Linked DNA regions of Saccharomyces cerevisiae S288C. The protein of the gene in region 1 purifies or fractionates together with the protein of each later gene. This does not show direct contact. Each region holds a gene or a part of one and is shown in the gene's direction. Other genes may lie near its edges.

The links. Proteins that work in one complex are often made in the same cells at the same time.
Region 2: the proteins of ENP1 (region 1) and DIM1 purify together in Saccharomyces cerevisiae (affinity purification with mass spectrometry; 11 studies listed by BioGRID, with this or other methods). This does not show direct contact.

The regions. Positions count from the first base shown.
Region 1 is NC_001134.8:711,973-716,624, reverse strand, and holds ENP1 (snoRNA-binding rRNA-processing protein ENP1), read left to right. Parts: upstream 1-2,169; coding exon 2,170-3,621; downstream 3,622-4,652. Other genes in the region: HIS7 (imidazoleglycerol-phosphate synthase), read left to right, coding at 160-1,818; RRT2 (diphthamide synthase), read right to left, coding at 3,871-4,652. UniProt on the Saccharomyces cerevisiae protein: Required for normal export of the pre-40S particles from the nucleus to the cytoplasm.
Region 2 is NC_001148.4:37,494-40,577, forward strand, and holds DIM1 (putative dimethyladenosine transferase), read left to right. Parts: upstream 1-1,627; coding exon 1,628-2,584; downstream 2,585-3,084. Other genes in the region: PLC1 (phosphatidylinositol phospholipase C), read left to right, coding at 1-352; ACM1 (Acm1p), read left to right, coding at 676-1,305. UniProt on the Saccharomyces cerevisiae protein: Specifically dimethylates two adjacent adenosines in the loop of a conserved hairpin near the 3'-end of 18S rRNA in the 40S particle.

The DNA.
Region 1 (4,652 bases):
AAATTCATGAGAAAAGAGTCAGACATCGAAACATACATAAGTTGATATTCCTTTGATATCGACGACTACTCAATCAGGTTTTAAAAGAAAAGAGGCAGCTATTGAAGTAGCAGTATCCAGTTTAGGTTTTTTAATTATTTACAAGTAAAGAAAAAGAGAATGCCGGTCGTTCACGTGATTGACGTTGAAAGTGGTAACCTACAGTCACTAACCAATGCAATTGAGCATTTAGGTTACGAAGTACAACTGGTGAAATCACCAAAGGATTTTAACATATCAGGCACGTCAAGATTGATTTTGCCTGGTGTCGGAAATTATGGCCATTTCGTCGACAATTTATTTAATAGAGGATTCGAAAAGCCGATAAGAGAATACATTGAATCTGGAAAACCAATAATGGGAATTTGCGTCGGGCTACAAGCGCTCTTTGCCGGTTCCGTGGAAAGCCCTAAGAGTACGGGTCTGAACTACATTGATTTTAAGTTGTCCAGGTTCGATGATTCAGAAAAGCCAGTACCAGAAATAGGTTGGAATTCTTGCATTCCCTCGGAAAACCTATTCTTTGGATTGGATCCATACAAGAGGTACTATTTCGTCCATTCTTTTGCTGCCATTCTGAATTCAGAAAAGAAAAAAAACCTAGAAAATGACGGTTGGAAAATTGCAAAAGCTAAGTACGGTTCAGAGGAATTTATTGCGGCAGTCAACAAGAATAATATATTCGCTACTCAGTTCCATCCTGAAAAATCAGGTAAAGCTGGTTTGAACGTCATTGAGAATTTTTTGAAGCAACAAAGTCCTCCGATTCCAAACTATAGTGCGGAAGAGAAGGAACTCTTAATGAATGACTATTCAAATTATGGTCTAACACGCAGAATTATTGCTTGTCTTGATGTACGTACTAATGACCAAGGTGATTTGGTGGTTACTAAAGGTGATCAATACGATGTACGTGAAAAAAGTGATGGTAAAGGTGTTAGAAACCTTGGTAAGCCTGTTCAGTTGGCACAGAAATATTACCAACAGGGTGCGGATGAAGTAACATTTTTGAATATAACTTCTTTTAGAGATTGTCCTTTGAAGGATACTCCGATGCTAGAGGTTCTGAAACAAGCCGCAAAGACAGTCTTTGTTCCATTGACAGTCGGTGGGGGGATCAAGGATATTGTCGATGTTGATGGAACCAAAATACCTGCTTTAGAAGTTGCAAGTCTATACTTCAGATCTGGTGCTGATAAAGTATCGATCGGTACGGATGCAGTCTATGCAGCCGAAAAATACTACGAGTTGGGTAACAGAGGAGATGGAACGTCACCAATAGAGACAATCTCGAAAGCATACGGTGCTCAGGCAGTTGTTATTTCTGTCGACCCTAAGAGAGTATATGTAAATTCACAAGCAGATACGAAGAACAAAGTCTTCGAGACAGAATATCCGGGCCCCAATGGAGAGAAATACTGCTGGTACCAATGTACAATCAAAGGTGGAAGAGAATCTAGAGACCTTGGTGTGTGGGAATTAACAAGGGCATGTGAAGCTCTAGGTGCTGGGGAGATTTTATTGAACTGCATAGACAAGGATGGCTCTAATTCTGGTTATGATCTGGAATTGATAGAACATGTTAAAGATGCGGTCAAGATTCCCGTCATTGCATCCAGTGGCGCCGGTGTACCCGAACATTTCGAAGAGGCCTTCCTAAAGACCCGCGCAGATGCTTGCTTGGGTGCAGGTATGTTCCACAGAGGTGAATTCACTGTTAACGATGTAAAGGAGTATTTACTAGAGCACGGATTAAAGGTTAGAATGGATGAAGAGTAATGTGGTTGGATATGTATACTTTATAATCTTGACTCAGTCTATATACGCAATAATGATAGATGTTAAATCAGACATTTCACAACACAAGAGGATGTACAGCTTGGAGAAATTGTACCAACTTATATGGTTGTATTATTGGTGGTGTCAGTAGGGGAAGAAATAGAACATATTTTTCCACTTTTTCATTTTTTTTTTTTAGCGAGGCATCGGAAATGAAAATTTTTAAAAATCGATGAGCTCCCACTTCTTCAACATTGACGAAAGGAAATATGCACTAAGTTGTTTTAAATCCAAGATTTGTCTCGTTTTAAGACTTACAGATAAAACAATATATTAGAAAGATTAACTATAATGGCCAGAGCATCCTCTACTAAAGCCAGAAAACAGAGGCATGATCCACTTTTAAAGGATTTAGATGCAGCTCAAGGTACCTTGAAAAAAATCAATAAAAAGAAGCTAGCGCAGAACGATGCTGCAAATCACGATGCTGCAAATGAGGAAGATGGATACATAGACTCCAAAGCATCAAGAAAAATTTTGCAGTTGGCCAAGGAACAACAGGATGAAATTGAAGGTGAGGAACTTGCTGAATCAGAAAGAAACAAGCAATTTGAAGCCAGATTCACCACCATGAGCTATGATGATGAAGACGAAGACGAAGACGAAGACGAAGAAGCTTTTGGAGAAGACATCTCCGATTTTGAACCCGAAGGTGATTATAAAGAAGAGGAAGAGATAGTTGAAATCGATGAAGAAGACGCAGCGATGTTTGAGCAATATTTCAAGAAATCAGATGATTTTAACTCTTTAAGTGGTAGCTATAATCTTGCAGACAAGATTATGGCCTCTATCCGAGAAAAGGAAAGTCAAGTTGAAGATATGCAAGATGATGAACCACTTGCTAATGAACAGAATACCTCAAGAGGCAATATTTCATCCGGTTTGAAGAGTGGAGAGGGTGTTGCACTTCCAGAGAAGGTCATCAAAGCATATACTACGGTAGGTAGTATTTTAAAAACTTGGACGCACGGTAAGTTGCCAAAGTTGTTCAAGGTTATCCCATCCTTAAGAAATTGGCAAGATGTCATTTATGTGACCAACCCGGAAGAATGGTCACCACACGTTGTTTACGAAGCAACGAAATTATTTGTATCCAACCTAACTGCTAAAGAATCTCAAAAATTTATTAACCTAATTTTACTTGAACGTTTCCGTGACAATATCGAGACCAGTGAAGACCACTCTTTAAACTATCATATATACCGTGCGGTGAAAAAATCGCTTTATAAACCAAGTGCCTTCTTCAAAGGTTTCCTATTCCCATTGGTTGAAACAGGGTGTAATGTACGTGAAGCGACAATTGCAGGAAGTGTGCTTGCTAAAGTCTCTGTTCCGGCTTTACATTCTTCAGCTGCCTTGAGTTATCTTTTAAGGCTACCTTTCTCTCCACCTACAACTGTTTTTATCAAAATATTGCTCGATAAAAAATATGCTTTACCGTACCAGACGGTGGACGACTGCGTGTATTACTTTATGAGGTTTAGAATTTTGGATGACGGTAGTAATGGGGAAGATGCTACAAGAGTACTCCCAGTGATATGGCACAAGGCTTTCTTAACATTTGCACAACGTTACAAGAACGATATTACCCAGGATCAGAGAGATTTCTTGTTGGAAACTGTTCGTCAAAGAGGCCATAAAGATATCGGTCCTGAGATTAGAAGAGAACTATTGGCAGGAGCCAGCAGGGAGTTTGTTGATCCACAGGAAGCTAATGATGATTTAATGATTGATGTCAATTGATGCTGTAATATCAATTTTTCATCAATTTTATATCGCTCGGTCTTTCCCCCTTTCAACAAAGCTTCTGAATCATGTATAATAAGTAGAAAATATAGAGTAAAAGATTATTGTTCAGGCAAGTTCCTTCCTATCAATTCTTTATGCATAATCTATCGAAATCATCAAAATATGGCCTATATATTAGCCTATATATTAGCCTATATATTAGCCTATATATTAGTCCATATATTGCAGACTGAATTTTTTTTTCTAAACTATCCATGTTTGCAAGGAATTATCATAAAATGAGCATGTTGCGATCAAAGAATTTGACCAGTCGCCACCGTAACACATCGAATCATGGCCCTTCTTCAGATAATGTTGAATTTGAAAATACTCATCGGAATTATCATTCATGGTCACCACCTTGGCACCATTGTACATGCAACAAACTAAAAGCCGATCGGAGCCGTTGTGGTGAGATTGTTCCTGATCAATGGGGGATTCAACAAATCTCCAAACACCGCCACCAAGATCACACGCCAATTTATTAACTGTGGGGACATTTGCACCAGGAAATATGGACTCACCCATCATCCTTAAATCCAGAGAACGAATGTTATCATCATAGGATCCAGTTATTATGGACGTGGGTTTATTATTTCGAAAGTTAGGTTGACTACACTTAATGCTAACAACACCAGCATCATGAATACGATTATTACTCCAAATGAATTCTTTGGAACGTAAGTCGTGGGCCATAATTCTCGAATCATCACCTCCTGTAAATACAACGTCTTGAAAAGGCTGTAGAGATCCAAATTCCGCAGTCCAACACTCGAGTTCATGGGGTTTCAAAAATTGTCCCGATTCAACATGAATGACTTTTTCGGTTGCACCTTGAACTTCGTAATCTATTTTATCTAGTTTTGAGTAAGCCTGCGCGATTGCTGATGCCGTGAACTGTACAGATAGTGTTCTTATATCAATGGTAGCTGCTTCGCCTGCCGTATTTGTTACAAGTAATTTCTTACAATCAAGTGGGGAAAAAT
Region 2 (3,084 bases), on another chromosome or scaffold:
AAGCAGAAATAACACCAATTCCTTTGTTAAAGTGGAGTTTCATACCGATGACGAGCCGACAATGCCCATCTCAATCGATAAGGGTACAAGGATTTCTGCCACTGAAGCATCCACTAAGAGTTCTCAAGGGAATGGATTCAACCCAATATGGGATGCTGAAGTTTCTATCACATTGAAAGATACAGACCTCACATTTATAAAATTCATGGTTATCTCTGAAGAGACCCAGATTGCATCTGTTTGCCTTAAGCTGAACTATTTGAGGATGGGATATCGTCACATTCCGTTGTTTAACATGGAGGGGGAACAATACATATTTTGCACTTTATTTATTCATACACAAATTTTATAGGCGATCTTTTTCCGGCCAAATACACATATTCATAAATACGTACATATACCTACTTGCATATACCAACATGATTACCTAGAATGGATATATCAAATGGGACGACGAAGTACCACGACAATACACAATAACAACTTCTGTTTTTCGCTGATTGCCTTCTCTTCAGCAGAAAGTTGATGCATATTTCGCGTAGCGCGTTGACGCGTCTTCTTTCTGAAGTTTTGTGCTTTTGTTATCATACTATATAAAGTAAAAAGAAAGGAGAACATATTAAGCATTACTGAATTAGGATCCTTTGGAAGAAATAAAGTAAGAGACACTGAAAGATGATATCACCATCAAAAAAGAGAACCATTTTATCAAGCAAGAATATAAACCAAAAACCACGAGCAGTGGTAAAAGGCAATGAACTTCGTTCACCATCAAAGAGAAGGTCACAAATAGACACAGACTATGCACTAAGGCGAAGTCCAATAAAGACAATCCAAATTTCTAAAGCTGCACAATTTATGCTGTATGAGGAAACGGCTGAAGAAAGAAACATAGCTGTCCACAGACATAATGAAATATACAATAATAACAATTCTGTGAGCAATGAGAATAATCCTTCCCAAGTAAAAGAAAACCTTTCACCCGCTAAAATTTGCCCTTATGAAAGAGCATTTTTAAGGGAAGGAGGAAGAATTGCATTGAAGGACTTAAGTGTTGACGAATTCAAAGGTTACATACAGGATCCTCTCACCGATGAGACTATACCACTGACGTTGCCACTGGGTGATAAAAAAATCAGCCTACCCAGTTTTATAACGCCGCCAAGAAATTCGAAGATATCTATTTTCTTCACTAGTAAACACCAAGGACAGAACCCAGAGACAAAGATATCCCGTTCTACCGATGACGTCAGTGAAAAAAAAGTAGTGAGAAAACTGTCCTTCCACGTCTATGAAGATGAGTAAATAATGTACACAGTTAGCGTCTAATAATTAATTAACGATACCAATTTAATTCATTCACGTATTCCTCACCTCGTGTGTAAATTACTAACAGAGTAGTAATAATAATAAGAATCAATAATAATAATAAATCCATCCTTGTGTATTACCCGGGTTAGAGGGTAGAAAAATTTTTGAAAATCGCGATGAGCTGAAAATTGAAAATATTTGGTTATAACATAAGATCGATAAATTAGGAACAGTGCATTATACAGTGGACTCATTCGGTTAGAAGCTTTAGACGTCGTACCTTTTATATCGATACAAATAAAAATAAAATTATACCATGGGAAAGGCTGCGAAAAAGAAGTACTCCGGAGCAACTTCGTCCAAACAAGTCTCTGCCGAGAAACATTTGAGTTCAGTATTTAAATTCAACACAGATCTAGGTCAGCATATTTTGAAAAATCCTTTGGTGGCGCAAGGTATTGTTGATAAGGCACAGATTAGACCCTCAGATGTTGTTTTGGAGGTTGGTCCTGGTACAGGTAACCTAACTGTAAGGATCCTCGAACAAGCAAAAAACGTAGTGGCAGTAGAAATGGATCCCAGAATGGCTGCAGAATTAACTAAGAGGGTACGTGGCACACCTGTGGAGAAAAAGTTAGAAATCATGCTTGGAGATTTTATGAAGACTGAATTACCATACTTTGATATCTGTATTAGTAACACTCCTTACCAGATCTCATCGCCTCTGGTTTTCAAATTAATTAACCAACCAAGACCACCAAGAGTATCTATTCTTATGTTTCAAAGAGAGTTTGCTTTAAGATTACTGGCAAGACCAGGTGACTCATTATACTGTAGATTATCCGCCAATGTACAAATGTGGGCTAATGTTACACACATCATGAAAGTGGGTAAGAATAACTTCAGACCGCCACCACAAGTGGAATCCAGCGTTGTTAGACTAGAGATTAAAAATCCAAGACCGCAAGTGGATTACAACGAATGGGATGGTTTGTTGAGAATCGTCTTTGTGAGGAAAAACAGAACGATTTCAGCTGGCTTCAAATCGACCACCGTGATGGACATTCTGGAGAAGAATTATAAGACATTTTTGGCGATGAACAACGAAATGGTGGATGATACAAAGGGTTCTATGCACGATGTCGTCAAGGAAAAGATTGACACAGTTCTGAAGGAGACCGACTTAGGCGACAAAAGAGCGGGTAAATGTGATCAAAATGATTTCCTAAGGCTATTATATGCTTTTCACCAGGTTGGTATCCATTTTTCATGAGCTCTCTTATCAATTATGTAAGTGCTTGTATACTATTTACCTAAGATAAGAAAAAAAAAAGCAATTCAAAATTAAGCTTATCTTGACAGCGGGGCTGGTTTGTTTCTAGAAGACAAAAAGTGGGGAATCATTTTTACGTAACTCCCCCTGATAAGAAGGACTCACATCCTTATAGGTACGATAAAGAATGGTTGTATCTTTCCTATTTTTCGAAATCGTTATCTTATATAGTTGAACTACTACGGTTAAAAAGCTTAAGCCTCAGCCCTCTTAGTCAAACTTCTTTTTTGAAGGCACCAGGGTGCATAAAAGTGCGTCTATTGTTTCCCAGTGGAACTCTGTTGAGATAGCGATGTTTGTTTTTTTTTCACTTAACGGCAACCAATACCGATAGCGACGTCGCTGGCAGTGTAGAGTGGCCGTACGGCGTCGCTAGATGGCACGGCACTGATTGCGGCGGGAGTCGCTAGGCGGTGATGCATTTCCGCACAGGGACCAGA